Mus musculus: one gene and its partners. The main gene of each other region encodes a partner of the protein of the gene in region 7 in a complex. Links are inferred from orthologs where the notes say so. Each region holds a gene or a part of one and is shown on either strand. Other genes may lie near its edges. The genes, in order: Nup205, Cetn2, Nup153, Nup160, Nup107, Cetn3 and Nup214.

Region 1 (3,710 bases), on a different chromosome or scaffold from region 7:
TATGTTTTAGGGGCTGAAGAGATGGCTCATCGGTTAAGAGCACCAACTATACTTCCAGAGATCCTGAGTTCAAATCCCAGCAACCACATGGTGGCTCACAACCATTTGCAAAGAGATGTGATGCCCTCTTCTGGTGTCTCTGAAGAGAGCAGTTGTGTACTCGTACATAAAACAAATAAATAAATCTTAAAACTGTGTTTTAACTCTTTCACAAAGCTCTTCCTACACTTCCATACTTACTTTCATTGGCATAAATGCAAGGAAGTCTGTGATAAGACTGTGGATTCTGCGGATGTAAAACTCTTCCTGATAGAAGTTTTCAGCCAGCACAACAGCCTCGCTGAGGAACAGGAAGACATTATCAGCAATGGCCAGCTCTGCAATTGCTTCATCTGCTTCTGTGAACTCAGCCAGGGCTACAGATTCAGAACACAGAAAAGCAAAATGAGAAAAGCCTTTAACTCAGCTTGTATCTCATGACAGAATGTTAGTGAAGCATATTTCAGACATTTTTCCAGCCTCCTAACAGGTGCTATGCACAAAATGAAATTATATATAATTGTAATTGATTCACAAACTCCAAAGAACTACTAAAAGAGTACATTTGAAATACAAATGTAGCTGGATATGGTGATGTATGCCTTTAGCCCCAGCACTCAGGAAGCAGAGTGCTGAGTTTGAGGCCAGCCTGGTCTTTGTAGCAAGCTGCAGGCTAGCCAGGACTACATAGTGGACCTTGTCTCAAACAAAGCAAAACAATTGTAAGAGCACTGGCTCTTCCCATAAGTGACTTGCTAATCAATGCAATGTTAACACTGATATAGACAGAGAGCTCTTATACAAACATAGCATGCAAAAACAATATAGGAGCTTTAATCACAGACATTTCCAAAGGTTTTCTTGTTATTGTTTTGACTTTGTTTGGGTTGGTTTTATTGAGGCAGGGTCTCAACTGTGTAGCCCTGGCTAGCCTGGAACTCACTTTATAGATTAGGTTGGTCTTCAACTCAAGAGATCCTCCTGCCTCTGCATCCCAAATACTAAGAGCCCCACCTTCTAGAGAGGTTTACTTGAGGAAAGACTCACCTTGAATATGATTGTTTCACACCATAGGCTAAGGCCCTAGGCTGAATTTAAAGAGGAAAAAAAGATCGCAAACTAGCGCAACACCATATTATCTTCCTGCTTCCTGACTGCAGATTCATGCCATCACTTCTTATACTCCTTCTGAGCTCTATCTGCCATGACAAACCCCCACAAGCCATGGGAGCCAAAATAAACTCTTCCTCCCTTGAACCTCATCTTACGCAAACCTAGAGAAGTGAAAAAGCCTTTGTATTTCAAATTACAATGAAAGGACAGCTGGTAAAGCAAACCATTCTAAGCATCATTTCACGAATCTAGACAACAGAATAGCTTGCCCTGTGTAGAACAGGATTAAGTAAATGGCCCTATTGTCTTAGCTAGGGTTTCATTGCTGTGAACAGACACCATGACCACGACAACTCTTAAAAGGACAACATTTCATTGGGGCTGGCTTACAGGTTCAGAGATTCAGTCCATTATCAAAGAGAGCATGGTAGTGTCCAGGCACGATGCTGGAGGAGCTGAAAATTCTACCTCTTGTTCTGAAGGCAGCTAATACTTGCTCCCACGTGGTTAGGAGGATGGTCTCATTGCCCACCCCCACAGTGACCTACTTCCTCCAACAAGGACACACCCACTCCAATAAGGCCACACCTTCTAATAGTGCCACATCCTAGGCCAAGCATATTCATTCAAAGCATCACACCTATCTATGCTTGATTGATCCAAACATCTCCTTTCCAACACACTGAGTTTAAAAAACTAGATCTTCAGTTTGATACAATGTGAAAAAGTTTGTAAACAAAAATTTAAGTGGTGGCACACATTTAATAATCCCAGCACTTTAGAGGTAAAGCCAGGAGAATGAGAAGCTCCAGGGCACCTTTAGCTACATAGTTTGGGGCCAGCCTGGGATACATGAGACCCTGTTTAAAAAAGAAAGAACTAGAACCGTAGCTCAGTGGCAGAACCCTCCTCCCTTAGCACATATTTAGAAGGCTCTAAGGTCAATCATCAGTACCACAAAAAAGAAAAAGGATAGGTATGACTCTGTGGGAGTCTCACTCTTCTCAACTCCTACACTGAAGGTAAAGACCTCTCACTAGATTCACAAAAGGAGGTAACCTCTGAGGTTCTCTTCTGAGACAGCAAATAAGGTGCATCTCAGTTCTACTTTACAAAGTTATGAGGGGTGTGTTATTGTTGTTTTTGAGACAGTCTCTCTATGCAACCCTGCCTGCCTGGAGCTCGACGTAGACTAGGCTGGCCCCAAACTATAGAGATCCGCCTACATCCTGAGTGCTGGAATGAAAAGTGCTAACACAAATTTTTATCAAACAACTTGTATTTTCACGTGCTCATATTTACACTTTCTCTTTCTGATTTAAAATTTGATATTTGAAAACAAACGCATTTAGAGCTGGAAAGATGGCTCAGTGGTTAAGAGCCCTGGATGTTGTTCCTCAAAAAAACCCAGGCTCCATTCCCCACATCCACATGATAACTAGAAACCATTCCTAACTCCAGGGAATTCTTGGATCTCAGGTAATGTTAGACACACATGTGGAATACAGACATATATGCAGGCAAAACACTCGCACATAAAATAAGTCACCTAAAAACTTTTAAAGGAAGAAAATCAATGCATCGCTAGGTACAGTGGCAGAGCCAGTTCTCTCCAACCTTCCTTCCTTACCTGTTACATCCGGTAGCTGGGATATCCCCCTCAACGCCAGGGCCCAGGCAAGCCTAACAGTGGCCTGCAGTCCAGGAAGCTTCCAAGGCTGAGAGTCCTGGAGGCGAGAGTGAATTGTCGAAACGTACTGTCTCTCTGTCAACAGTGGAAGGTGGTGAATCATATCTGAAAACACAAAATTACATCACTTCACCAAAAAAGAGCAGAAATAAATTCTCACATCCGTCACACATGGATATCTAAAAGTCATAAACACAGCATTTTCAAAAGGAATGATGACTAATTAACATCATTATTTGATATAACAAAATATCTGTATTGCTGTTAAAGTATTATATGCATAAAAACTAAAAACAACAACCCTAAATTTCAGTTAACAACTTCCAATAAGTTTCATAGACAGCAGAAATTAGAAAAAGAAGCACTCACTGTTTTTTCTATACAGGAATTCTAAAATATAAATAAATGCTCTCTAAAGATAAAATGAGTCACCTACTTCTCATACACAAAAACTATGTCAAAGAGAAGTAAAGAATCTGTGTTTCACAAGTTTTACAAATGTGAGTAAGGAACAAAGCAGGCAGCTGCAGCAAAGGCAGGCACGTGCACGCGTGACCACATTGCTTTCTACCGTGTAACACCGTCATTTCAGGAAACCACCTGCACAGGAACAAAGCTGAGCACAGGGGGCGCACGCCTTAAGCCCAGCACTGGGGGAGCAGAGGTGGGCAGATCCCTGAAGTTCGAGGCCAGCCTGATCAACACAGTAAGTTCTAGGACAGCTAGGGCTAAACAGAGAACCTCTCACTCAAACACAAAACAAAACAAAACAAAACAAAACAAAACAAAACAAAACAAAACAAAAAACAAAGACAGAGTTTGCTGTCGTTGCTATTAGAAAGCAAACTTAGGGCCTCAGGTATGGTAA
Region 2 (4,278 bases), on a different chromosome or scaffold from region 7:
TGTGCTTTGTCTTGTATAGAACGCTGCCCAGTTCTAATCCCAAGAAGGGAGTTGTAGGAAAACTATCTTCTTAGATTAATTCCCCGGCCATGGCCCACATTATCATAAGGTCCTGGTGATAGCTGTCATGATATATGTCCTTGGTCACAGGCAAACAAGTATGGTACATTGTAAAAAAAAAAAAAAAAAAGAAAACATACTTAGTAAAGTGAATATAAACTCAGGGGTTACATAGGAAATATAATTGTATATAAAGTACTGTACAAAACAAGCAGACACTAGATTCATTTTTAAAATATAGAAGCAGTGAGTAGGGTTGTAGTCAGGGAAAATACATTGCTAAAACAGATAGACTGATAAAGGCAGAGGAGGAGAGAGGTATTTTTCACAATGGCCTTCAAAGAATTACCAGGGCCCTGAGTCCTTGTAATGCAGAAGAGCAGAATTTCTGAAAGCGTTCAAACCTCAGCTATTTCAGGAAGGTTCTTGCCAGGAGGTTCAGGTGGAAGAATAATCTAGGAACCAATCTTAAGTGTGAACCATTTGTCTGAAAATGTCAGATTGACACCTGATTTATTGTATGATAATTTAATTTTTAATAATAATAAATTAAAACCAAAAATGACTAGCATTGAAAATCTCGGTGTTAAAAGTTTTTACTGCTTGTGATTATCATGTGGCCACATGAAACAAGATAATGCTAATACCTTAAAGAAAGCCAAATGAAACGTAGAGATCCTCTCAATTAAAAATACTATCTTCTCCCATGTGGAAGGGATAGATTTTGTTGGATAAAGCTCTTTGTATGTCTAGATTCTCATGTTTCTACCATTATGGGTAGAAAGCATGCTAATTATCTTAACTAACTTACCATTTTCTGAGTCATCACTGTCAAAAAGTCACTGAAGTTCATTTTTCCTGTTCCTTCTTTATCAATTTCACTTATCATTTTCTTAATTTCTTCTTTCTTGGGCTCAAAGCCCAGGGCCCTCATTGCCACCTACAATGAAAACAGAATCATCTAAATAGATACATAACGTAAAAACAAAAATGACTATTGAAGATATTAACCAAACACCTGATAAAATGATGGAAATGATCAGGGAACACTTAAGGCTGATTTAATTGATATTTGCAATCAACTTTATCAATTAGACCATTGTTTCAGGTAAAATATACACAGGGTACCCTTGTCTGTTACTTTTTGCAGGCAGAAAGGAGAAGAACGGTAACAGCTAAAAGACAAGCAATAAGGAAACACAAGGTAACAAAGAAAAGGATGTGTGCAGCTTACCTTCAGTTCTTTGATGTCTATAGTTCCAGTTCCATCAGCATCAAAGAGATCAAAAGCTTCCCGGATTTCCTGTTTCTGGTCTTCAGTAAGTTCAGGCTTAGGACTCATCCTTTTTCTCTGGGCACTGGATGCCATGGTTGTCTTCTTAAAATTAGAGGCCTTCACACAATATATAAACACAGAAGCACATTATTACAAGCCATAGTCCTTGTTTTATTTATGACAGCTCTAAACATACATATCTTTTTCAATGAGGTGTGCCATCGTTTGTAATGTACTTATGTCATTACGTAAACTTCCATGGGCCAGTGAGAATTCTTGCTGCCAAGCTTGATAACCTAAGTGGGAACCAGGACCCAGGCTTCAGTTGTCGTTGTCAAAGATGAAAAGGGAAACGATGCTTACATGGTAAAAGGAGAGAACTAACTCTTCCAAATTATTCTCTGACCGCCACACTCAGGCTAAAATGTGCTTCTCCACCAAGGAATAATAAGTGTAAAAACTAAAATAAAATTAACCCCAACTCTAAATGACAAATAGCACAAACCTCTGTGAAGAAAAAACTTTCTCTCAACTTAAAACTATTTCAATTTATATATGTCAGTTTTTACTAAGTTATAAAAAAAGAAATTGGCAATAATGAGGTTATTTTCTAATATAACTGTAAATTTGTCTTAATGTGATGTCTCATATGACTAAATTCAACTATATTTCATTGGGGAGCCACCAAATAGAAGAGAGTTTTTGTTTTAAAATAGTATATTACCATTTTCCTCCTTGTTCTTGTATAGATCAACATAGAGCAAGTGAATATATGAATATGAATTTCTAGTGTTAACATAGCCTTCATGAGAAGACATAACTCTGACCTCCACTGTCTTAAAGTTTATACTACAGAAAGTTCATGCAATTGTACCATTAATCCATGTGTCACTTTAGGAGATTCAATTTCAGTCATTTTTAAATCTAAAAAAGCATCATCAAAAGCTCTTTGAGAAACCAATTACAGTTATGGATGATCAACTGTATATGATTTCCGTACTCTCGGTTTTAGAAATGTACTTAAAACATCTACTTGTGGTGCCAGTTCCCAAGAACTCTGCTCCTCCAATTACTTATGCCTAAATTTGGCTAAATGTAAACTTACTAAGATAAAAATTATGCCGGTACAAAGTGATAAAAATCAAACCATTTGCACCTGCGTGCTTTCTCACAGCCTCTCCTGAAAGCGTTTGCGACCATCAGAACACAGTAAACCTCTTAGCACCAATGCATAAACTTTAACTGGGTGGCCGCGGCCAGGAGGCCTGAGTTTGACTGAGGCGGAAGTCTAAGGGAAGCAATAGAATGGTCACCCTGCTGTTTCCTGAAAGCCAGCGGAGGTCCAGAGGCAGTTTGTGCGGGGGTGGCTGAAGGTGACTTGGGCGAGGAGGGGGTAGTGGGAAAGAGCAGGCAAGGCAAGCTGCTGGCGGCTGTACTTTCTCTTCTACCCTTCCGGCACACAGCTCCAAGGAAGAACTAGTGCGTCAACGCCAAGAACCGTGCAAGAAAGGTAGCAAGGCTGCACCGAGGCCTAGGAAAGGACCGGGGACGCCGCGTGGGGTCCACCGAATCCCTAGCACTTACCATCACCCAACGGACTCTGCCACCGGTTGTTAAGGCAACGGCGTACTCGCAGCCTCAGCGGCGTTCCCACTGCTCCACGCGCGCACAGCCCGCTTCCCATTGGTTTGGGAACGAAGAGGTGGGGCTAACCTGGCAAAACTCGCCCAAGAGCAAGAGGGCGGTGCGTCGGCAGCCAAAGACTAGCCTCATTGGGCAAAATCATGCTGTGAGCGTCAATTGGTTGCGCCAGAGCCAAGCTAGACCAATCAACATTATGAAGGAAGCTCTGCTGATTGTGGGCTCATATCTATCAGTAGAAAAGGGTGGCGGGTGTTCAGCCAGACTTCTCTGGTTGCCGGTTGTCTGCAAGCTGAGGTCGATCATTTGAGTGTCTAAACCGGGTAAGAGTTGCGGGCTTGCCCTTAGAGGCTGCTGCGTGTGGGTGACAGAGCCTGGAGGAAGTAGGAGGGAATGGGTGGGACCCATTTTAAAACCGAGTTGGGGGACACAGAACATCTGAGGGGCCAGCAAGATATGACCAAATGGTTTGGAGGGGTGACTGTGCCAGGAGAAGCTGAGACCTCGAAACTGGAGTGGGCATGCTGAGTATTGTGTCAGTGGTTCACAGGGCTGGGGCTTAGAAACCCAATCCACATGAGGCTTTGTCTTTACATTAGCTCTACAAGAGTCACTTTAGCTCTCAGGGGAATGGGCTGGGGACTTTTAGATCTTCAAAACTCATCAAAATGTGTCCTGTTAGACGTACAGACACTCAAGTCACATGGGAAGGAGCATTCCTGAATGAGACTCCCTTGAAAGCAAAGCCACAGGAGTTTTGGAAGTATGGAATGTAAAGAGAATTAAAGGGCAAAGTGCACAACGGGTTGGGGCTACCTGGAGCTGTGCCAGGAGTAATGAAGGCCCAGGGTCGAACACAGATTCTATGTTCTACGTCCCTCAAAGCAAAGAAAATCAGTTTAGGGACTTTAAGGGCACAGTATCAGTCTCTCAAACTGAGAAAGGCCTGAGACTTAACAGCTCCCCATAAATGTAATATAGGCCCTTTGCCCTCTTTCCTTTAAGCCAGGAACCGGCTTCAAAACTTTTGTGTCTTGTTTGGCTCCTTTGTTCACTGCAGCAACAATCCCCCATATCCAGCCTCTGAGTTCTCACAGTTCCGTCCTTGAATTGTCCTCTGTTTTCTCTGTTCCTCCTCAGCCCTTCCTCAGCAGTATGAGCTGGAGTTCTCACCATAATCTGCAAAGCCTGCCATGAAATTCCTCCTTCTCCCATCACACCCACACTGTTCCCCCTCTGGCTCACTCTCACCCAGGGCACTATTTTTGCGGCTGATACATTCCTTCACTGACCTTACCCAG
Region 3 (4,329 bases), on a different chromosome or scaffold from region 7:
ATGATTCTCCATAATCGATTCTTTTTCCTAATCATAGTTACTTATTTCATAAAAACAAAAAACAAAAAAACCCTGGGTTATAGTCCTGGCTTTGAGTGCCCAATTAGATATCCACCCTCTTTTATTTTTTTCCAAGTCAGTTCTCTATGCAGCCCTAGCTGTCTTGGAAAACGCTTTGTAGACCAGGCTGGCCTTGAAGTCACAGAGATCCATCTACATCTGACTCCTGAGTGCTGGGATCAAAGATGTCTGTCACCAGCCAGGCTCTAAATCGATACCCTTAATGGTGCCCCTTAAATTTTCTTGGTTTCCATATAGTCCATTGAATGACTAGGCTGGACCACATGATCACACAGACCTTTTGTCTAATGCCTGCATCTTTAACACGGTGTATCCGGTCTTTGAGGATACATTGTTTAGTCACCTAACTATAATATTAACTGAAGCAAATATATGTTTACTAGGGATATATGAGTCACCCTTAATGTGTGTTGATTGCATAGGTCATAATTGCAACCATTTACTGCGTTTCTTGTATACCAGGAAATCTACTGGGTGCTCTCTACACAGACGACCGCACTAGCTCCCCACAACTTTATAAGGTAGATTTAAATAGTAGAGTCATCCAAGGTCAAGTTTGTAAGTAGTGAAGCAACTCAGAATGCCAGCACGGTGTGTGTTGACAACAAAGCCCTTATATGTTTAATGAAACAGTAATGAAGTTGTATTTTTTGCTTTCGTTGAGACAGAATCTCACTATGAAGCTGAGGGTAATGTGTAACTAGCCATTCCCCTGTGTCTGCCTCCCAAGTGCCAAATGCCTTTCCTACTTTGTTTTTGGCCTGGGGATCGCGGCCACGGTTAATTTCAACGCGGTCTCCCCCCCCCCCCCCCCGGATTGTGATGCATTATGGTTCTTTGATTTTACTGTTTACTTCCATTCGGCTTATAATTGATGAATGGGAGATTACAGTATTCGTGTCGAGTGCCCTTCTGAATCTAAACAAGCAGCCAACCGCCGCCAAATGACCCGGGCTTTGTGCCTCTGCGGTGCTCCGTGGGTGTCCTTCCGCTATAGCCTGCCTTTCCGAGAATCCGCGTTCTGGCCAGAAAAACTACATTTCCCAGAGGCTCCCACGACAGGGAGCGCGGGCTCGGCCAACCCTTCCTTCCTTCACCCATCCCCCCCCGCATTGTCGCAGCGTGATGACGCAAAGCGTCGGTCGCGGAGGAGTGACGGTGTTCTGGCTCGCGACCGGGGCGGCCGCCTCAACAGCGGTAATAGGCGCAAGAGCGGCGGCGGCGGCGACGACTGCAGGGACGACGACGGCGGCGGCGGCGGTGGGGCGGGCGCAGCGCGCACAGGGGGAGGGGTTGGCGGGCGGCGCCAGCGGCCTGGACTGCGGCAGCGACGGCCAGGGCGACTGAAGAGGAGCCTCTAGCAGCGGGCGGTCGAGCTAGGCCTCAGCGGCGCCCGGAGCTGCTCGCGCCGGCCTCGGCGGGAGATCTCCATAGAGACGGTGACAAACACAGACGCGGGGGTCCGCACGCGGCCGGCGCTCCTCAGCCACCTCGGGGCCCTCAGCCGCCGCCACCGCCTTCCTCGCCGCCGCGCGCACTCTCAGTTCCCGCTCGCTCCCTCGCGGTTCTCGCTGTGTCTGTGTGTCGCCTAGGGCCGGGCGGGGGAGGCCCTCAGGCCGCCGCCTCTGCCTCTCCCGCCCGGGAGCGGTAGTGGGAGGCCGCCCAGGCTCCGCCATGGCCTCGGAAGCCGGAGGCATAGGAGGGGGCGGCGGCGGCGGCAAGATCCGGACTCGTCGTTGCCACCAGGGGCCGGTGAAGCCTTACCAACAGGGGCGACCCCAACACCAGGTACGGGACCGGTACGCCGTGGCGACTGGGCGGCTCCGGGCGGTCTCTTTGGGGGGCGGTGCGAGGACCCGGCGGCCCCACGTGGAGGGGACCAGAGGGCCTGAGGCTGGACCCGGGTGGCGACGGGAAGTGGGTAGAGCCTGGCCGGGCCTGGCGGCAGACACGTGGGATGCGAGCGGCCTCTCCCAGCCCTCCCGCCCAAGGGCTTTCCCTGGCGGGCACAGGGCGGGAAAAGAAATCTCAGGCTTCGGATATTCGGGCTGCTGCTGCTGCTGCTGCTTCTTCTTTTTTTTTTTTTTTTTTGGCGGGTTTTTGGGGGTTAAATGGTATTCCTCACGACCTCACGAAGGGAACAAGGGAAAGATGTGGCAACAGGCCCATCCGCTGGCAGGCTTTTTCTTTCTTGTGTTCCCGGGTTCAGGGTGCGCGGGGAGATTAATCTGCCACCGCGGCCCGGAGAGACTTGGGGAGGGGGCGCTGTTACCCATATCGTGGAATAATTTCGGTTTTAGACGCGTTAAATCATTAATGGTAGTCCGGTCCCCTCGTCTGTCTGCTTGGCCTTTCCAGATCGGAACACACTGGTTTAGCTTCTCATCCTTTCCTCTCTTAACTGAGTTATAGTTATGTGGCACTGAGGCGTTTTGAAAGTCCCTCGCCGCTCTTACGTCTGGTCTCTGATGCGTGGTTCTTCCCTCTCTTCTCTCCACCCCGCTCTATATACTGAAGACCAGAATCATCCACTCTCTACAGTTGACCAGTTCTTCAGCTCTGATCTCATACACCAAATATTTTTAATACTGGGCGTTTTCTAGAAGTTTAAGGTATTTCGGGCTCACCAGGGGTGTTACTTAAGCCACCGTATGCCTTCTTTGGGTGTTTATAAAAATGTCGATTCTTGTTGTAAACGAGATAGTTGGTTCAGAGAACACTTTCAGTTATTAAAAATTGTGAGAATTAAAACGTTAAAAACTCACTTTAACGAAGCCACTTTTTAAAAGTAGGAAGTGTATATTTTAAGCTTACTGAAGAAGGGCTAATATATAACTTGTTGCATACTCTTAAATGTAGACTTTTTGTTTATTCTGGCTAGTGCTAAAATTGAATACTTGTTGGTAATGTTAAATTATATCACTTTTGAGATTTTTAAAATAAAGATAGGGAAAGTTTTGAATAGAAACAGCTGTGTTTTATGTACTAAGAAGTTATTTGTCATTGCTTGGAAGCCTTGCAATATTACCATTTTCCCTGAATGCTGAGGAGCCCGGGGTCTTCAGAAGCAGACTTTAAGATTAAAATCAGGTCACAAGCCTGGCCGTTTTACTTTGCCTAATACTGTACAATGGACATTAAGGCAAACATACTCTTATACTAAGAGTAATGAACCACCTCTGATTGCTTGAAAACAGTTTGAGCAAAGAAATGGATGGCTTGGATAGAGTTTAAAAAGAAGCCAATATTATGTATGATATTATGATAGAATTTAGAAAGAAGCCAAAGTTATGATCACAGCTTATTTTAAAATGTATTTAGGTTAAAAAAAAAAACCAAACTAATTTGAGAGAGAAGTGCATTCAACTAAAACCAAACATGTTTTAGAGCTGGTACAGATTTCAAGCTGTATGGTTTTAGAGCTCAGTAGTTCTAAGACATGTTAGCTTCTTGCCTCAGTCATTTAATTTAAAATGTAAGTACATCTTAATTTGAACTGGAATTAAAGATAACTCTTTTTTGGTTAGCAGATTTAATTTTGGCAGAATTGACCAAAGAAAAAAGTGTTTAGGCTTATATAAAAGTATGCAGCTCAGCTTTTGTTTCTGTCTTAAAGTAAGTAACTAGTCTTACCTCGGACTTAGTGGATGTCATTGTCCTCTACTAGCCGAGCTTGTCAACTGGTTGTTTTGCAGCAACTGCTGAGTCATCATCTTGGATATATCAAGGAGTTTCATGACATGGCATGTTTCATACTAATGCTTGATAAGTGTCCATGGCCTCTTGGCAGACTGAAGAGTTGTGTTAGACTCAGAGTAAGCAGGCTGGTGCTTATTGGTGAATGCAGGACAGCAAATGTCAGGCCAAGGAGCTAGCTACTGCAGTCACCCAGTACCTGTGACTCCTGTATCATGTTCAGTTGATTTCTGATTTCCTGTTTTGACTTCTGGTTTAGGTCTTCTGGGAAATGTTTAAACTTTAGCATTTTTCTACTTTTAACTTTCTTCCTTTTTCTTTTTCTTTTTTTTTTTAAAGCCACCTTGCTTGAAGTTGTGGAGCTAGAAAGATATTGTCTTGATCAACCAGATAAAGGTCAAACAGTTACAAGTAGACATAGTTGGGCAAAGAGGTACATACCTGAAATCACAGCTGCTAAGGGGCTGAGAGGCCAGGGGACTCGGAATTTGAGGCCAGTCTGGGCTTCATAGTGACACTAGGCTAGTCTGAACTGTAGAGTGTCTCAAGAAG
Region 4 (3,710 bases), about 59 Mb from region 7:
ATTCATACGCATTTACCTCAATTCCAAAGTACTGATGTCCTTTTCCTAATACAGCATCTACATATTCAGAGACCAAATCCACAGCTTCTTCTAAAAGGTCATAGTTCAGGTAAAGACGAAGCAACTCGGCAGCATCAACCTTCTGTAAAGACAACAATTATAAGCATGTCTACCCCAACTGGAAACAGAACCTAACAGTGCTGCATTCTAGAATGTTTTAGAAATTATCCAAGAAACTAAGTCCACAAACAACCTAAATGTATTACCAAAACATATGCTGATTGTTTCTATACAGCAACAAATTAATCAGGTTTTCCTATTAACTTTTCCAATACAATTGTATTTCAACTTATACAGTACACATCTAGGCAGGCAGGGCTACACAGTCCTGCCTCAGACCAATCAACCAATTTTAAAAAGGTTCTTAGTGTGAGCGAGCACCTCAGGGTAAGATCTGTAAATTCCCATGAGCCCAGTTACCTCCAGGCACACTGTAATATTGTCTGTTAAGTGGCTTTTCTTTTCTATTTTGTGATCTGAGACATGTTTTAACTTGTTCCTACTTCAATTGTACATTAGTAATGTCAACATGTTTTCTCAGGAACGCTGAGCACTGAAGTGGAGGATGTATGCATTAACTCTCAGAAATAATGAAATGCAAGGTACCACCAGCTTTAAATCTGTATGCAGCTCAAGGAGTGTAATGGTTTGAATATGCTTGGCTCAGGGAGTGGCACTATTCGGAGGTGTGGCTCTGTTGAAGTAGTTGTGTCACTTGTGGGTATGAGCTTTAAGACCCTCATCCAAGCTGCTTGGAAGTCAGTCTTCTCCTGTTTGCCAAGATGTAGAACTTTCAGCTCCTCCTACACCATTGCAGGCCTGGATGCTGCCATGCTTCCACCATGATGATAATGGCTGAACCTCTGAACCTGTAAGCCAGCCCCAACTAAATGTTGTCCTTATCAGAGTTGCCTTGGTCATGGTCTCTGTTCATAGCAGTAAAACAGCAGTAAGACAAGGAGAATGCTGTAACTTTTTTTTTTTTTTTTTTGAGAAGGTTTTTCTGTGTCGCCCTGGCGGTCCTGGAACTCTGTGTAGACCAGGCTGGCCTCAAACTCAAGCGATTCATCTGCCTCTGCCTCCCGAGAGCTGGGATTAAAGGCGCAGGCCAGCATGCCTGGGTCCACTGTACTTCATTACAGTGAAGCTGCCTCCTCTGCTCTGATGTAATCAGTTTTACTTCTCCCACTTTAGCTACTTTTCTCTATTTTCTTCTCCTCTTTTATGGCAGAGTTTCATGTAGCACAGGCTGACACTACATGTGGACCACATCCTTGAGCTCAGTGCTTCCCACATGCCAGGCACTCTACCAACCGAACTTTTCCGTTTTTGTTTGTTTGTTTGATACAGGGTTTTGCTATATATAGACCAGGCTGGCCTTCAACTCACAGTAATCCTCTCCTCAGCCTTCCAAATTCTGTAATTACAAATGCCTAACCAATTTTACTACTAATAATTTTTATATTCTCTTTCCTTATCCCACTGAAAGTGCTTCAGATATCATTTTCAATCAAGCGTACATCTAACCCAATCAGAAGCACTTGCCACAGCAGCATATATACTAAAACTGGAATGATAAAGAACATATAAATTCATGAAGCTGTGCTGCTATATCATAGCTTATTGCAGTGTGGTGGGAGTGTACAGAGCATAATATAGTCTTATCATCAGACAGGAAGCCAGAGGGCAATTCAGCCTCCATTGTCATTCATACCTGCTCATGAAGCATTAAAACAATTTGGCTTAGTGTTGCACACTTTTAATCCCCATACCTGGAGATGGAGGCTGGAGGATTTCTGAGTTGAAACCCAGCCTGGTTTACATAGTAAATTCAAGTCCAGCCTAGTTCACAGTGAGTTTTAGGTTAGTCAGGGCTACAGTGACACCCTGTCTCAACAAACAGAACAACTCCCCCCTAAACAAACAAAACAACAAAAACAGAAGGTTGTCAAAATGTGGAATTCTGGTTCCTGGCCCCAGATAATCTGACTTAAGACCGAGGAATTGACATTTTAAAGAAGCTACTGAGCCGGGCGTGGTGGCGCATGCCTTTAATCCCAGTACTTGGGAGGCAGAGGCAGGCGGATTTCTGAGTTCGAGGCCAGCCTGGTCTACAGAGTGAGTTTCAGGACAGCCAGAGCTATATAGAGAAACCCTGTCTCGAAACAAACAAACAAACAAACAAACAAACAAACAAACAAACAACAAAAGAAAGAAGCTACCATTCAATATAGCCCACATGTGAATCATATGTTGGAAGTTTGACCCTCCAATGTAGTAGCAATGGGAGAGGAAGGAACCTTTGAGAAGTGGGACCCAGTGGGGGGATGTTTAGGTCAAGGAGGGTCTGTCCACTGTGAAGAGATTAATTCTCAGGAGAGTGAGCAGGTATGAATGACAGTGGAGGGTGAATTGCCCTCTGGCTTCCTGGACCATATTCTGCTGTGTACAGTCTCACCACACTGCAACACACTATGATAGAGCAGCACAGACAGCTCTTACTGGAGGTCAGAATAATGAGCCAAGTGTTCTTGAACATTTCGCTTATAAAACTGTGAGCAAAGTAACCCTCTTTCTCTAAAAAGCTAACCTGCCCAGGTACCTCTTCATGGGGACAGACAACAGACTAATAGATAAGCCTCCCAGTCAAAGATAAACTCTTGTATTATCTGGGAAACATTTTACCTACTATTGTTAAGTTTTTAAACAATGATAGTAGATATTGTTGCATGAAATATACTCATTATTCTAATTATGAGCTCACTATACAATGATAAGTCCCCAGTACTATATGTGGAATTTAAGATAAATTGTTTCATCCTATTAGAGATGATTGAGAATCAAAGCATTTAAGCCAGTGAATTCTCCTTTGTCTTCCACTTCTTTTGATAGTATCTCATTTAGCCTAGGCTGGCCCTGAACTCACTTAGGCTGGCTTTGAAGTTCTTTTGATCCTTTTGTCTCTGCCTCCCAACTACTGCCACAAATGACTTGTAAACCAGTACACTTCCCAAATTATTACCCCACCTCAATACCACGTACCTTGTAACTGTTTATAAGCCAATTAGGCAGAGGAACTCCATGAGACAACAACTTGTTAATCACACAATGATGATACAAGTTATTCTGGACTTTGTATCTTTCCAAGTAAGTTGACAATAGCCTCCATGCTTCATCTGTAGCACTTGGAAAAAGTAAAAAGGACAAAGGAGTTCAGATTCCTATTCTACTAGTTAATTAGGAACTAATTAGTTAATGAATTGGGTAGACAAGGCTGCTCTTAAGACTCTCCAGAGTAGGCAGAGGCAGGCGGATTTCTGAGTTCGAGGCTAGCCTGGTCTACAAAGTGAGTTCCAGGACAGCCATCGCTGTACAGAAAGACCCTGTCTCAAAAAACCAAAAAAAAAAAAAAAAAAAACCAAAAAAAAAAAAAGTTATTTTGCCGGGCAGTGATGGTGCACACCTTTAATCCCAGCACTCGGGAGGCAGGGGCAGGCGGATTTCTGAGTTTGAGGCTAGCCTGGTCTGGTCTACATAGTGAGTTCCAGGACAGCCAGCGCTATACAGAGAAACCCTGTCTCGAAAAAACAAAAAAAAAAAAAAGACTCTCCAGAGTGCTGTGATCATAGGTGTTAGCAAACATATCAAAG
Region 5 (4,306 bases), on a different chromosome or scaffold from region 7:
GAAACAGGCTGGACATGGCCAGGGCCGGGGAAGCTAGAGAATGGGAGAGAATAGTTACATCAGCAAGAGATGGGAGTCAGGACAGAACACACCCAGACACCAAATGCTCAGCACAAAGGAAATGTATTACCCAAGACGGACAAGCAGAAGGTGTTGCCTCCGTCTGGATCGGCCAAAGAAGGCAGCAGGTGTCTCTGCAGGAGAAAGGGGGAAGGCTGTGCTAGGATGAGTTGGTAAGTCCTAAGTGGACATGTTAGCCAGCTAGTGAATTTTGATAGTTGGACCTCGGAGTTTTAGTCAGGCATAAGGATGTGGCCAAATAAGGGAAGAGACCTTGGTGGCTAGGTTTAGGAATGTAATCTAACGGTTTAGCAAGGGAGAGGGGAAGGGAGAGGGCCACACCTGCTGGTGATGTGTCTGCAATGTCTGCGCCTGTTGGAGCTCTTCAAGATAGTTTTGTGTGCAAGATGAGAGAGCAGAGACTAGAAATTAGTGCAGAGTCGGGATTGTGGGGACAAGTAGCTAAGAAGACCGAAGGAAAACGCATTACAGGAGTTCCTGAGGAATGCTGGCGTTTATCTAACCGCCAGAAATCAGAAATGGTTCAGCCAGAGCTCATTTCTAGATATTTGGAGGGCCTGAGACCTAACATTTTTGAGGTACTGGAACAGGTAAGTATTCCCACGCCCAAAACTTTTAAAATTTATGATAATAACAGCAACAATAATAATTGCTATTATTACTATCGTCAGGCTTTCTTAGTGCAGGCTTGCTTCAAAATCGTGGTTCTTCCTCCTGCCTCAGCCTCCCATGTGGCTTTCTTATGCTTTGCTTTTTTTATTGGATTTCTTAAAAAACGGCTGATTCCGTAAAAGAGAAATAAATAACGAGAGAAAACAACCTCAAAACCCGTCCAGTGAGGTTACACCACAGTTCAAAGAGGTGAGCGCCCCGAGACAGGCCAGATCCCGTAAAGTGGCGCTGAACCGCAAACAAGAACGCTGAATGCAGACTCTTCAACAGATTCCTAAAGTCCAGGTTATAGACTTCCGGCTTCCCAGAACAACGCCCCACCCAGACCACGCCCACAAGCCAGGCTCAGGCGACATACCCAAGCTCCGCCCCTTTCCCCGCCCCCTTCCTGCCTGGCCGGCACCACCCAGCCACGCAGTCACTCCCTGGCACACTTCCGCGCCTGCGCCCACTGAGCCTGCGGCTGGAGACGAAAGTCGCGCATGCGCCGAGCGGGAACATTGTTTCTCTGGGACTGGCTTAGCCAGGCCGCGCTTCCGGGTCGAAGGGTGTGCTTCCGGAGAGCGGGAAGGCTGAAACGCGGCGGCCAGGCTGCAGTCAAAGAGTTGCAAGGTTCTAGGCGGAGACCGCTGAAGCCATGGACAGGTCAGTCCTGGTAGGGACGCCTCGGCCGAGACTGGGGCTCTCGCCTGTTAGCGACGTAACCGCCTCCGCGGCCAGGGATTTGGCCCTCGGTGGAGGAATGGACGCTTGGCGCGATTGGAGCGGGGATGTGAGAATGCGGATCCCCGGGGTTCCACGCCGCGCCTCCCGGGTCTTCTCGGCGCTCGCTCCGAAGTGTGCGGGGGTCTGTGATGGTCCCGCATTCGAAATGCGAAATGAAGCAGTTCGAGCTCAGGGCCATCAGCCGCACTGACAGTTCAGCCCAGACGTCCTCAGCGTGGTTTTATTGCGGTTATTAAGTCATGTCAGCTGTACGTTATTGGGTAACGGTGGTCAGCTTAGACTTTAAAGTGCCGGCCCTAGGGAGTTGAATTTCTCCCTCCCTCTCAAATGATTTATGCTCGCCTGACACGAAGATGGGTTGTTTAAGGCCCTTGGCATCGGGGAGTAGATTGTGTAGTGAAGACAGTCGAGCAGTGTAATACGATGTATTTATACTGTACTGCGGGGAAAATAAATGAAGGAGATGTTTTATCTCCCTGTCACAGGAGTTTCAGGCAAACCTATAAAAGTAACTTGCTAGCTGGTCTTTTGAGTAATAATAGCACATTATTGATACTGAAAACATTGTGCTAGGGGTTATCTTATGTGTGTTCCTTAAGCTTTAAGTGGCACATTTAGTTTTAGAGCAATCCCGTGAGGATCTTATCTATATAGAACAGTGAGCCTGTAAGAGATTTAAGGAATGGCATAGTTAAATAGAACCCTGTTATGGGGCTGGGGATATAGCTCAGTGGTAGAGTGCTTGCGTAGTAACCCTTAGGTTCTGGGGGGGGAAAGAGAAACATTACCAGCAGGGACCTTTGAATCTCCATAAAGCTGTTTGATGAATAACTTAAGTAGATAGATGAACATCCAGTGACAGGGGAACACATATAGACCTCTGTAAAAGAAACATACTCAGATATAAAGTCATGAAAAATGTTCACGCTTGTGTGGCTGAATGCTCCCAGCAATGCGGATGGACTTGATGGGCAGAACTAAATTAGGATGGTGGTGTAAATACTGTGCTGGTGAGTGTTAGCTTGAGTCTGCAGAGAAGAGGAAGCTGGCTGGAGATTTTAAGTGGAAGAAAGGTGTACTAGAAGGATAATTAAAATCAACCCCCATGGTTTAGTTTATAAGCTGTCAGATGACAGTGCTGGAGGCCCATAGCACTGTGCTAAGACAGGAGACATCCTTAGTCTACATGGAGGGAAATCACTTGAAGGGCCATTTCTCCTCTTCACTAGAATTGCTTCACTTTTTCTTTCATCCCGCCAAGCCATATCGTACTCACAGTCTGAAGTATAGTCCTGGCTGCATAGCAGTGTTTGGTCAGCATGCAGGCCAAAAATATAACAGTGGTCCCATATGATGATATTGCCTAGTGACATGATGACTGGCTTAGCTTGTATAGATATATTCTGTGAAGTTTTCATGAGGATTAAAAAAAAGAAGAATTCTCAGAGCCTGTTCCTTCTTTGTTTGGGTTTGTTTTTGAAGCTGCTTTCACCCTGTCTCAGATTGGCCTGGCACTTCCTATGTAGTACAATTTGGATTAGAGGTGTGAGCCTGGGCTAAAACCAAGCCCTTCAACAAGCAGCTAACTCATCACCGTATTTTAGAGAGTGCAGAGTCCTTCCTTGTAGAGAATTCTGTAGTCAAGCAGCTCTTTGGTCTGATGGAGGAAAAGATTTACCTTTATGAAGCCATACTGTAGTATAAATTTCGGGTTCTAAGATAACTCCGCGGAGAACATACTATTGTGATACTAGGCAGTCAAAGACAGGGCTGGTAGCCGAGCACTGGGTGGGATTTGGGGGAGTAAGCAGGACTCAGAGACAAGAGGTTATTCTTGCCAACAAGATCCAAGACTTGGCTATTGGGGTGAGCCGTCCCTCGACTGACGAAGATCCTTTCTTTGCCCTAACTGTAACGGTAGTCCTTCAAAGATGCCGTCTAAGACCTTGATTATACTGTTCTAGGAGTGGCTTCGGGGGGATGTCATCCCCTGTGATCCGGGATGCGGAGGTGACGAGGACTGCCCGGAAGCACAGTGCTCACAAAAGAGTTCTAAGTATCCTTCGTGTCAGGATTGCAGAGTGCAGGGTGCCGTGAATCAGGGCTGTGGGATTAAACATTAGCTGGGATAGAATTTGGCTTACCTCCATTGGGGTTTACATATATGTTTACATACACGGGACATACATGTTCTCAGTGAATGTCAGTGAGCTAAGATGCCTGTTTCTCTGAAAAGCATGTTGTCTCACTACTGGTATGCCATAGTAGTCAAAACTTATTATCTAGTCTCTATCTGAGAATTTAAATGACAGGTGGCTTTAACAGCTGTACAGAAAAGGTGGTGCCCATAAAACACTTTGTTCTTGAAAGAAGTGTGCTCATGTATCTGTGTAGTAAATCCTTGCTTGACTTTAATGATTTTTCTTTTCTCTACATGGAAACTTTCCTTAATTCTTCCTAAGTTCAGGCCAACCAAGAGGACAATTTTGGTACTGCTACACCAAGAAGCCAGATCATTCCTCGAACGCCAAGCTCCTTTCGACAGCCTTGTAAGATTTTGTTTGTGCTTTGGAAGTATTTAATGAAGTAGCCAGCTGGCATTTGTATAATTTTCATTATAAAATATTTAGCTACAATATCAGGAAGTAAGCATAAATAGTAATGATTACAGTTATCTGAGCTCTTATGAACAAGGACCTGTACTCTATATCAGTACATAGTAACTGTGACATACTGTATCTGCTATCCTCTATATCAGTATATAGTAACTGTGACATGCTGTATCTGCTGTCCTCTATATCAGTACATAGTAACTGTGACATGTTGT
Region 6 (4,510 bases), on a different chromosome or scaffold from region 7:
AGACATCCCTTACTAAACAGGGGAAGAGCTGGTGGAAAGGATGGGAGACAAAACCTGGGACTGAGGGCTGTGAGCAGAGCTGCCACCTTCTCCAGGCAGGGAGGCTCTGAGCAGAAGTAATCAGTAACAAGTGGAGGTAGTGGAGACAGCCGCATCAAAGGGCAACAAACGCAGAGGAAGCCAGGAAAGGCTTATGAGCTAACAACATGGTCAAAGAATTCAAGAAAGATAGATATGTAAGGGTAGTGTAAAGACGAATAGAAAAGGAGGAAGCTCGAGCTGTGAAACCAAGTCCCAAACCGAAACAGTCAATGCCAACAAATGGCGAGACACTGTACAGGACGGACTCAGACTGCACGGGAGGGAGCGGCAGCAAGACACAAGTGGGATGGGGAAGGAGCGAACAGAGGGCCTCAATATTGAGGCCCCAGCTTCAGGCCTGTAATACTTTCAGATAGTCTATCCTCTCACCTCAGTTTCTATCTACCCCTACTTGAAATGCTTAAAAATCACCTACAATGTTGCCCAATTTAAAACTACAGTTAACATTTAAGATATCAAATGTTATCTTTCTCACTGGGTTGAACATAAGAAATGTGTTCATAACAAATTTCCCCCTCGATCTTTACTCGTAATTTTAATCCTTAAATTGGGTATTTTCCCTCAGCACATAGCAACATTAGGCATCAGACAATTTATATCCTTTGTAACAGAGACGAGCACACTAAGAGTGTGTTAGTACTATTTTAAAAATTAAAAGCTCAATCTCAGAAATGTCTGAGCAAAGGCAACTATCTCTCCATCTCAAAACTTTTTAGGTTGCACTACAGAGATAGCTCAGTGAGTAAGAGTGCTCCTCGCCCTGCAATCTTGAGGACCAGAGTTCAAATCCCCAGCACTCATGTAAAAAGACAGGCCTGGCTGCAGGTGCCAGTGACAGAGGTGTGTTGATTGGAGTGACCCCAGAGTTCACTCTCTAGCCAACCTAGTTCAGAAGTACTGAACTTCCAATTCAATGAGACAGTCTGTCTCAAGGCAACAGTGTTGGAAGGCACACAAGGCCGTACTCTACACTGCACATGATACACATGGAATGTACAGGTCTGCACAAGCAACAAGCATAGGCCACAAACATCGTGTTTTAAAAAGCTGAGCTATATACCATCCCACAGAGGAAAACAGCAGTGGGAAGAGCATGCTAAGGACTCTCCCTTTAACTGGGTGAATGGAGAAGTTACACTTTCCATCATTACGCACTTAAATACAAGGTTCTACAAGCCATATTCTGTTTGTACTGTTTTCTTGTACCACCTGTGGGTGGGCACTACAAACAGCCTCACAGTTCCGAGACAAGCTTCTAAAATAGACTTTAAAGCAACAGTCACAAATGCAATTGAGTTAAACAAAAATGGGTCTTAAAAGTCCCCTGTTACCTTTAATTCATGATAATCTATGGCTTGGTCTTTGTCGGTATCAAACAGCTCAAAAGCATCTTTAATTTCTTGCTTCTGTTCTTCAGAGAGCTCTCTTCGTTTTTTCCTTTTTGTTTTGTCTACTACAAGCTCACCTCTAGGACACAGAAAAATGTCTTTAGGCCACTTTAACCCATCTTAGGACAAAGATTCATTTTCTAAATTTTAACAAAGCAGAGTAGCCTGGCAAATAAAGGAACTGCCCCTAAATCAATGTCCTGTAGTCAAATGTACTTTTATAAGAGAAATCCTAAACAAAGTCAAAAGCACCGAAAACACCATACATATTATTCATGTCATCTACCAAAAATAAAGAACAAAACAATGTCATCTACCAAAAATAAAGAACAAAACAATCAACCAGAATAGACTTGATTTTGGACAGCTTATAAATTCTCACAATTACTACAAAAAAACAACCATAAAACTTAAAAGATTACTTTTGCACTGTAAGCTCAAAATGTTTTTAGATTATACATTTGTAACACTGCTTTGTGGTTTTATTCCACTGATATTAGCCAGGCAAAATATAAAAGGGTCTAAACATTCAAATACTAGACACCAAAAAAAAAAAAAAAAAAAAATCACAGCATCTAATAGTCGTGCTTAAGTCTACGTGATGTTTAAAAGTGTTTTAACTCTCACTTAACATGTAAACGATAGGTTAAACGTCTTAAAACTCTGGAGAAGCTTAAAGAAAAATCTAAAAAGGGCACTTGGATCTGAAAATGTCTGCCTTCAAAAGCTGCCAATGCAAAAAGCGGTCCAAATGTGTAAACGAGGATACAGCACGTGTATCCGCACGTTCTAAAAGATGGAAGCTTTAAACCTCAAACCCTTGAAACTCGGCTAACTAACTGCTCGCGCTATTTACGTCTGGACGCCGTCGGGCTCAGGGACGCCGGCCCAGTGGCCCACGTGACCCCGGCTGCCCCCACTCGCCACACCCCCACGCCAGCTCCCGCCTCCTTCGTCACCCTGCGGAGCCAAAGGGGCGGCGCGGCGCGGCCCGCCCGGGGCACCTTTAACTGTAGATGGGCAAGGTGAGGAGCCAATGAGGGGAGGGATGGACGGAAGTGAAAGGACGGTGTCACGGAAACGAGCTCCACCCGAGACGCCTAGAGCACAGCGTGCCTCGGGGCCCGGGGAGAAAGGCGAGCGCTCCTGCGACTTTCCAGGGGGAATCAGGCAACCAGGGCTGAGTCCCGCAGTCGCGTGAGGGAAACCTCGCGAGACTTCACTCGGGCTGCGGCGGTGCCCGGAGGCGGGAACCGCCGAGGTCTGGTGCTCGGCGCTGGGCACCCGCCCCCGACCCGGTCTCCCGTCCACACCCGCCCTGGCCCTCTGGGGGGACGGAGGCACGGCCTCCTCGTTACCGACCTCAGAGCTAAACTCATTCTCTCTTCCGACAGAGATGTTCCACTCGGGGACTTTACCACGGGAACCGCTCAACAGCCACCAACCTCCACGCCTCGGGGACCACCCACCAGACAAGTTTCTGGGCGCGATTGGCTGAAATTGCCAACAGCCGGCCTATTGGGGCGGAAGCGTCGCTGCTCTTCTTTTTTCATTGGTCAGCATTCATGTCAATCAAGTACACATTTTTTGGCCCTGGTTGTCAGTCTGGCTCCCTGGATTGGCCAGGTTCTTTCCCGACTCCCTTGCGCGCGTATTAGAGTCACCACGCGAGACTCAGGCAGGCAAGGCGAGGCCCCACGCGTGACATGCACGGCGTCGACCGAGGGAAGGGAAAAGGCCAGCCCAAGCAGCCTGCTCAGAACGAGGGAGCAGTTTATTGGGGAACCAGGTCTGCGAAAAGATGTACAATTTTAGGTGGCCGGTGCACCTGAGAAACTTAAATCTAAAGGCGACATTCTTTATTCTTAGTTCAGTGAGGACCAAGCTAAGCGTTCTCCCCCGTACATCTCCCAAGTGATTTTAAGGCAGGCTGGATTATGGATTAGGCTTCTCGTTTTGCTGTTTTGTTAGGTCATTTACAATGAGACTAGCCAAACCACCCTTTTCTTCTGTGCGATTGGAAATGTGTGCTTGCTTCTGCTTCTCATTTTCTAGTGCTATAAAGTGTTTATGTGCGTCTTATCTTCACTGCCCACCAAGCCTCTTAAAGTTTACTTAGATCATCAGACTGCGAGCGAGACTGACTGTCTTCAAGGCCAGGGTTCTGTTTACACGAGTATTTGTACCAAACAAAATATCTGGAACTTAGGTGCTCCATAAATATTTGATGCATAAAATGAGGTATTATTGTGGAAAACTTGGAAACTACTGAGCTAACCTGCAGTGCTTATCGGTATAAATACAATAAACTGGGGCTAGGAATTAGAAACGGCAAATACTGTATGTAAGCTTATATGTGAACGAAGGACGCTGTGTAATTGGCTATGCATGAGTTAAGCTAGAGTGTAGATAGGAATTTGGACAAGTAAAGGATTGGGATAAAGCTAAAAAGTAATAGCTAAATGATAGCACTCCCAAAACCAAAGTAGAAAAATGTTGAAGAACTCAACTGGGCATGGTGCTACACATGTTTAATCCCAGCACCCAAGAGACATGTAAGCAGATCTTTGAATTCTTTACATTGTGAATTGCAGGCCAGCCAGGACTAGTAGTAGACCCTGCCTAAAATATAAAAATTAAGTACTTTTACTAACAAGTTTAAAAGGAAATTAGGCCAAGCAGTGGTGGCTCACGCCTTTAATCTCAGCACTTGGGAGGCAGAGGCAGGTGAATTTCTGAGTTCGAGGCCAGCCTGGTCTACAGAGTGAGTTCCAGGGCAGCCAGGGCTACACAGAGAAACCTTGTCTCGAAAAAACAAACAAACAAACAAAAAAAGGAAATTAGATTACGTCATATGTATACTAAAGAACACTAGTGAAAAAAAAAACTACTAAAATTTTAAGATTGTAAAACCAAGCCTAAGAAGAAAAGTATTAAATAAAGGTGAAAATAAACCATTTACATGGAGATGTTTGAAACAAAGGACAAAATAAACTAAACTAGAAGGAATAAATTACTGA
Region 7 (4,199 bases):
ACATTTTTTTATGCTTATAAACCCTGCTGATTCAGTCCCCAATCAGAGCTGCCAGAAGGAACAAGACTCCTGGAGTTCTTGTCTGGCAGTCTTGATCATCAGCAACTCTGCTTATGTGTATTAACATAGAAGATTTTGCTGTCTCACCAGCCCACTGGTGCACTCTCCCCACTTCCTCCTGATGCACGATGGATACAGAGTAACAATACCTTGGATATCTAGTTACAGGAACTAAGCTTAACTCTCCTGTACATAGGTAATGCTGCTTTAAATATCCCAAGACTCTTGCTATGGCCCTTGCTGAAAACACTTCTGCTCAATGCTGCAGACACACGTTTCCGTCTGCAGGGTGATACAGCCATGCCTTCTTCTGGATGGCTTCCCAGAGCCCACGTTCAACTGAGCACAACAGTAAGGTCTTCTTCCCTCTCATCTTAGAGAAGTGGCTCACAGAAACAATAGCAGAGAGCTGAAAAGAAAACTCAGAAAGGCCTTTGGCACCCTAAGTGGAAGCTCCCTGCAAGGCCAAAAGAAATCACAATTTTGACATCAGAATCGTGTCTTAGTAAGGAAATACACTGACTAGTATGCTACTGCAGCCCTGGCTCTGCTGCACACTATAAATCAAAGAACGTGCTTACCAATTTTATTGGGATCATCTCCAGGTTTATTTTGGATAAGAAGGCTTTTAGTAGGAAAAACATTCAAGCCATTGGTGCCACCAGCGAAGAGCATACCATACTTATTGGATATGGTAAGCACACTCGAGCGCTCCTTGGGCAACTCTTCAGGAGAGTCAAAGATCCTCACTTTCTTCAGTGCTCTAAACTGAAAGTCCTGTTTTAGAATAGGAAACAAGATCAAGGAAGAAATTAAATCATGTCTATTATCATAGTCCATAAATGCAATTTCAGGATAACAAAAATATACTTATTACCTTGAGGCCACCAATTTTGTTTTTAGACTCTGTATTTGGTGGTGCTTGGTATAATACTCATTAACATTTGCTGAATGAAATAAATAGAGAGGGCTGGAGAGAGGAAGCAATGGTTAAGAACACTGGCTGCTCTTTCAGGGGATCTAGGTTCAATTCCCAGAACCCACATAGCAGCTCACAACTGTCTGTAACTCCAGTTCCTGGGGATCTAATACCCTCAAAAAGTGTTAATCTGTAATCACTTTGTTAAGCTCTATCTGTATCCTCCACCACACCTCCTAACTCTCCAGCTAGGGATTTTAGTGAAAAGAATATGACAGCTACAAGAGAAAATGTATTTCTACAGAACCTTATGAAATGCTTCATAAAGGGTGTCTAGCACACCCACACATACTAATTTTCTTGCAGTCCATGTTTAATACATATTTACTGGAAGATTTTTATGAGCATTGGTGTTCTGCCTGCATGTGTCTGTGTGAGAATTAGAGCTACAGACAATTGTGTGCTGCCCTGTAGGTGTTGGGAATTGGACTCAGGAGCTCTGGAAGAGCAGTACTCTTAATCCCAGTTGAATACGGTGGGTAAAAGTTCACACAAATTTCCCCATGAGGCCACACTGGCCATTCATAAAGAAACAAATCATCTATCTTTTTTGATATTATCATCCTAATAGTCATGACTGTACCACTGGGGCTTGGTGGCTTTTTTTGTGGTGGGCCAGTGTGATGAAGCAACACAAAAGAAACAAAACAAAACAAAACAAAACAAACACAACAGACAAACCCAAAACCCAAACCTCTCCTTTCTGCTTTTGGCAGGAATTAAAATACTGCTATTAGCCCTGTGGTTCTAAATTCTCTACCCGAACATATCTGAGGAACATGAAGCTTGCCCATTACCGGGCTCAGCACATGTGCTGACTCAAGGAAGAGCCACTGTTTCTAAGCATGATATGGAGCACTCGACCCATGTGCATTTTAGCGACTCACCGGTCACACAAATGGCTAACACCTTCCTGCAACTCACTCATTTCCAACTGTCTACGGTCCCCTGCCTTTCCATTCTGTCAGAGTATATAAGCCAACTATTAACACAGTATCCAGAAGTTGTAGCATGGGGATCACTTAGGGTTCGCTTGCTTTTCCTTTAGTCTCATGAGTTCAAGCTGATTTCCAGTGCCAAACTTGACTTCCTGTTCCTACTAACTAGGGGTTTTGAAGGCAGATAGTGTTTCTTGGCTCCACTTTAGGTAGTTTGGACCACCCTCAAGTATAGAGAGCTAATAAGAACTGAGCGTCTAAGCCAACTGTGGTAATGCACACCAATAATCCCACCACTTGGGAGGTGGAGGCAGAGACAAGAGCCCAAGACCAGAAGCCACCTTGAGCTACAAGAGACCATGCCTAAATCGTAAGAGAGATGTAAGGCTTTTGCCACGTGACTTTGGATCATTTGCTTTCAAGGCTTCAATGCGCTCCTCTTTCTAAGCTGGTCGTAAGGGCTGCAGCGACGGTGGCGACAGTACGTCTCACTCAATAAACAAGAATCGCTGTCACCAGTAAGGCGACCAGCCCATCAGAGTACCTGGGGTAACTCAGAAGGCGTGGACAAACCCACGCAAGGACAGGTACCTGCACTTGCAGGGAACTCAGGCCCGCGACACGCAGAGCTGCGGACGCTCTGTGGGGCGAGCGATCGCGACCCTGCGAACTGCAGGAGCAGCCGGCAGAGGCGAGGCTCCAAGGCAACTCCAGGACTACGCAGGCGGGGAGGCCCCGGCCAGGCTCTAACCTTCATCTCCCGCTCAGGGATCATGGCATCCATCTCGTCTCCCATCGTGCCGCCTTCAGGGTGTTCAAGTAGCTGCTGCTGGCGCTGCCGCTGCCACCCGCGGCCTTTCAAACACAGCTCAGGCCGCTCAGGCCTCAACTTCCTTCCCTCAGCGCCCGCGGCGCGTGGTAGATGCGCGTTTCCGGCGCGCGTGACTGACGTCACCCAGGCCGGTTTTTAGTGTGCTCGGAGGCAGTCGAGGGCTGCTCGGAAGTCGCGCGCTTGCCAATCCACAAGGCCCCATTGGCCGGTTCCGCGCAGTGGGTGTGGCCATGAGGCGCGGGCCGGAGTCCGCCTTCCTTTGGATGCTGCGTGCGCAGCCTCGCTATTTAATTTTCTTCCTTAGAGAGAGGCACGCTCGGCCTTCCTGAGACTCTCGATGCTTCCCGGTAGCACTTACCTGCAGGGCTCTTAGAAGCTTCCGACTTAGAGAAGTTAGGAACTTTTTTGCTGGGAAGAGCGGACAGAGAGGTTCGGTTAGCGGGTGGACTGCACTGTGTGCCGGTGCAGAACCCTTTTAAAAACGGAGAGGAAAAGGGACAAAAGATCGGTTTTGTTTACTGTTTTCAAGGCAATCGTTTCAGATCATAAGCCATATCCACTTCACATCGCAAATGGTGCGCGGCTATCATCTCAGCTTTTGGGGATTAGAGGGTCAGGAATTCAAGGTCTTCCTAGGCTACATAGCAATCTCTAGATATCCTGAGTTACATGGGACCCTGTCTGGAAAAAAATATGTAATAAGAGAATTCCACACAAAGCAGTTAAATTATCCAATAGCTTTCAGCCAGGAAGGGTTAAGATTCAGATCTGCGTATACTGACTGATGTTGAAGACATTTCTGGAGTAGAATTATAAAAGAGGTTCCTAACTTGGAGCTGGTGGGTCAGCTCCAGAGGGCACATTCTGTCAGATGCAGTCTCTCAACAAGTTGCATGTGTGCAAGCCTCTATTCATTGTAAAATGCTAACAGTAGACCTGGGTCTTGGGCTTAATCAGATGACGTCAACTGTCTGTCTGGGACATGGGAGACCCAGGACACACTCATTTACTTGGTACCTGTTGTCAGCTAGCTCTTCTGAATTTACTGAGCCCAGAGCTGTCCCCAAGAAACACAAAGACACTGATAAATTGCTCTAGTTTATTTCAGTCTGCAGGAGACCACATCCCATCCATACATACACACATGCACACAATAATGGCACTCACCCAAATCTACCTTACAAACATCTTTTGAGTCACAGGGCAAAGCCATACTTGGCAATCCCCAAACTGCTGGTTACACCAGTTACATTTGGTCTTTTTCAGAAATAAGGCAGCCGATGTCCCAAGAAAGCTAAGCCCTTAACTAGAGAGGTTAAAAACCCTGGAACCAACAGACACAACTTGAAATATATGCCAACTCCTCCATTAAAGGGTCATTCTTAAGTCT

The links.
Region 1: Nup214 (region 7) and Nup205 share a complex: the UniProt entries of both Homo sapiens proteins name them as parts of the nuclear pore complex. The link is inferred for Mus musculus from reciprocal best matches to the Homo sapiens genes NUP214 and NUP205.
Region 2: Nup214 (region 7) and Cetn2 share a complex: the UniProt entries of both Homo sapiens proteins name them as parts of the nuclear pore complex. The link is inferred for Mus musculus from reciprocal best matches to the Homo sapiens genes NUP214 and CETN2.
Region 3: Nup214 (region 7) and Nup153 share a complex: the UniProt entries of both Homo sapiens proteins name them as parts of the nuclear pore complex. The link is inferred for Mus musculus from reciprocal best matches to the Homo sapiens genes NUP214 and NUP153.
Region 4: Nup214 (region 7) and Nup160 share a complex: the UniProt entries of both Homo sapiens proteins name them as parts of the nuclear pore complex. The link is inferred for Mus musculus from reciprocal best matches to the Homo sapiens genes NUP214 and NUP160.
Region 5: Nup214 (region 7) and Nup107 share a complex: the UniProt entries of both Homo sapiens proteins name them as parts of the nuclear pore complex. The link is inferred for Mus musculus from reciprocal best matches to the Homo sapiens genes NUP214 and NUP107.
Region 6: Nup214 (region 7) and Cetn3 share a complex: the UniProt entries of both Homo sapiens proteins name them as parts of the nuclear pore complex. The link is inferred for Mus musculus from reciprocal best matches to the Homo sapiens genes NUP214 and CETN3.

Annotation. Positions count from the first base shown.
Region 1 is NC_000072.6:35,191,111-35,194,820, reverse strand, and holds part of Nup205 (nuclear pore complex protein Nup205), read right to left. Parts: intron 2,948-3,710; coding exon 2,783-2,947; intron 417-2,782; coding exon 241-416; intron 1-240. UniProt on the Homo sapiens protein: Plays a role in the nuclear pore complex (NPC) assembly and/or maintenance. May anchor NUP62 and other nucleoporins, but not NUP153 and TPR, to the NPC.
Region 2 is NC_000086.7:72,915,394-72,919,671, forward strand, and holds the start of Cetn2 (centrin-2), read right to left. Parts: upstream 2,952-4,278; 5' UTR 2,924-2,951; coding exon 2,921-2,923; intron 1,454-2,920; coding exon 1,295-1,453; intron 1,001-1,294; coding exon 872-1,000; intron 1-871. UniProt on the Homo sapiens protein: Plays a fundamental role in microtubule organizing center structure and function. Required for centriole duplication and correct spindle formation. Has a role in regulating cytokinesis and genome stability via cooperation with CALM1 and CCP110.
Region 3 is NC_000079.6:46,724,900-46,729,228, reverse strand, and holds the start of Nup153 (nuclear pore complex protein Nup153), read left to right. Parts: upstream 1-1,379; 5' UTR 1,380-1,755; coding exon 1,756-1,869; intron 1,870-3,714; exon of another isoform or gene 3,715-4,329. UniProt on the Homo sapiens protein: Component of the nuclear pore complex (NPC), a complex required for the trafficking across the nuclear envelope. Functions as a scaffolding element in the nuclear phase of the NPC essential for normal nucleocytoplasmic transport of proteins and mRNAs.
Region 4 is NC_000068.7:90,729,213-90,732,922, reverse strand, and holds part of Nup160 (nuclear pore complex protein Nup160), read right to left. Parts: intron 3,245-3,710; coding exon 3,103-3,244; intron 663-3,102; exon of another isoform or gene 143-662; coding exon 17-142; intron 1-16. UniProt on the Homo sapiens protein: Functions as a component of the nuclear pore complex (NPC). Involved in poly(A)+ RNA transport.
Region 5 is NC_000076.6:117,789,696-117,794,001, reverse strand, and holds the start of Nup107 (nuclear pore complex protein Nup107), read left to right. Parts: upstream 1-1,296; 5' UTR 1,297-1,390; coding exon 1,391-1,398; intron 1,399-3,443; coding exon 3,444-3,535; intron 3,536-3,941; coding exon 3,942-4,028; intron 4,029-4,306. UniProt on the Homo sapiens protein: Plays a role in the nuclear pore complex (NPC) assembly and/or maintenance. Required for the assembly of peripheral proteins into the NPC. May anchor NUP62 to the NPC. Involved in nephrogenesis.
Region 6 is NC_000079.6:81,781,700-81,786,209, reverse strand, and holds the start of Cetn3 (centrin-3), read right to left. Parts: upstream 2,964-4,510; 5' UTR 2,870-2,963; coding exon 2,853-2,869; intron 1,570-2,852; coding exon 1,434-1,569; intron 1-1,433. UniProt on the Homo sapiens protein: Plays a fundamental role in microtubule-organizing center structure and function. As a component of the TREX-2 complex, involved in the export of mRNAs to the cytoplasm through the nuclear pores.
Region 7 is NC_000068.7:31,973,138-31,977,336, reverse strand, and holds the start of Nup214 (nuclear pore complex protein Nup214), read right to left. Parts: upstream 2,888-4,199; 5' UTR 2,774-2,887; coding exon 2,729-2,773; intron 838-2,728; coding exon 642-837; intron 1-641. UniProt on the Homo sapiens protein: Part of the nuclear pore complex. Has a critical role in nucleocytoplasmic transport.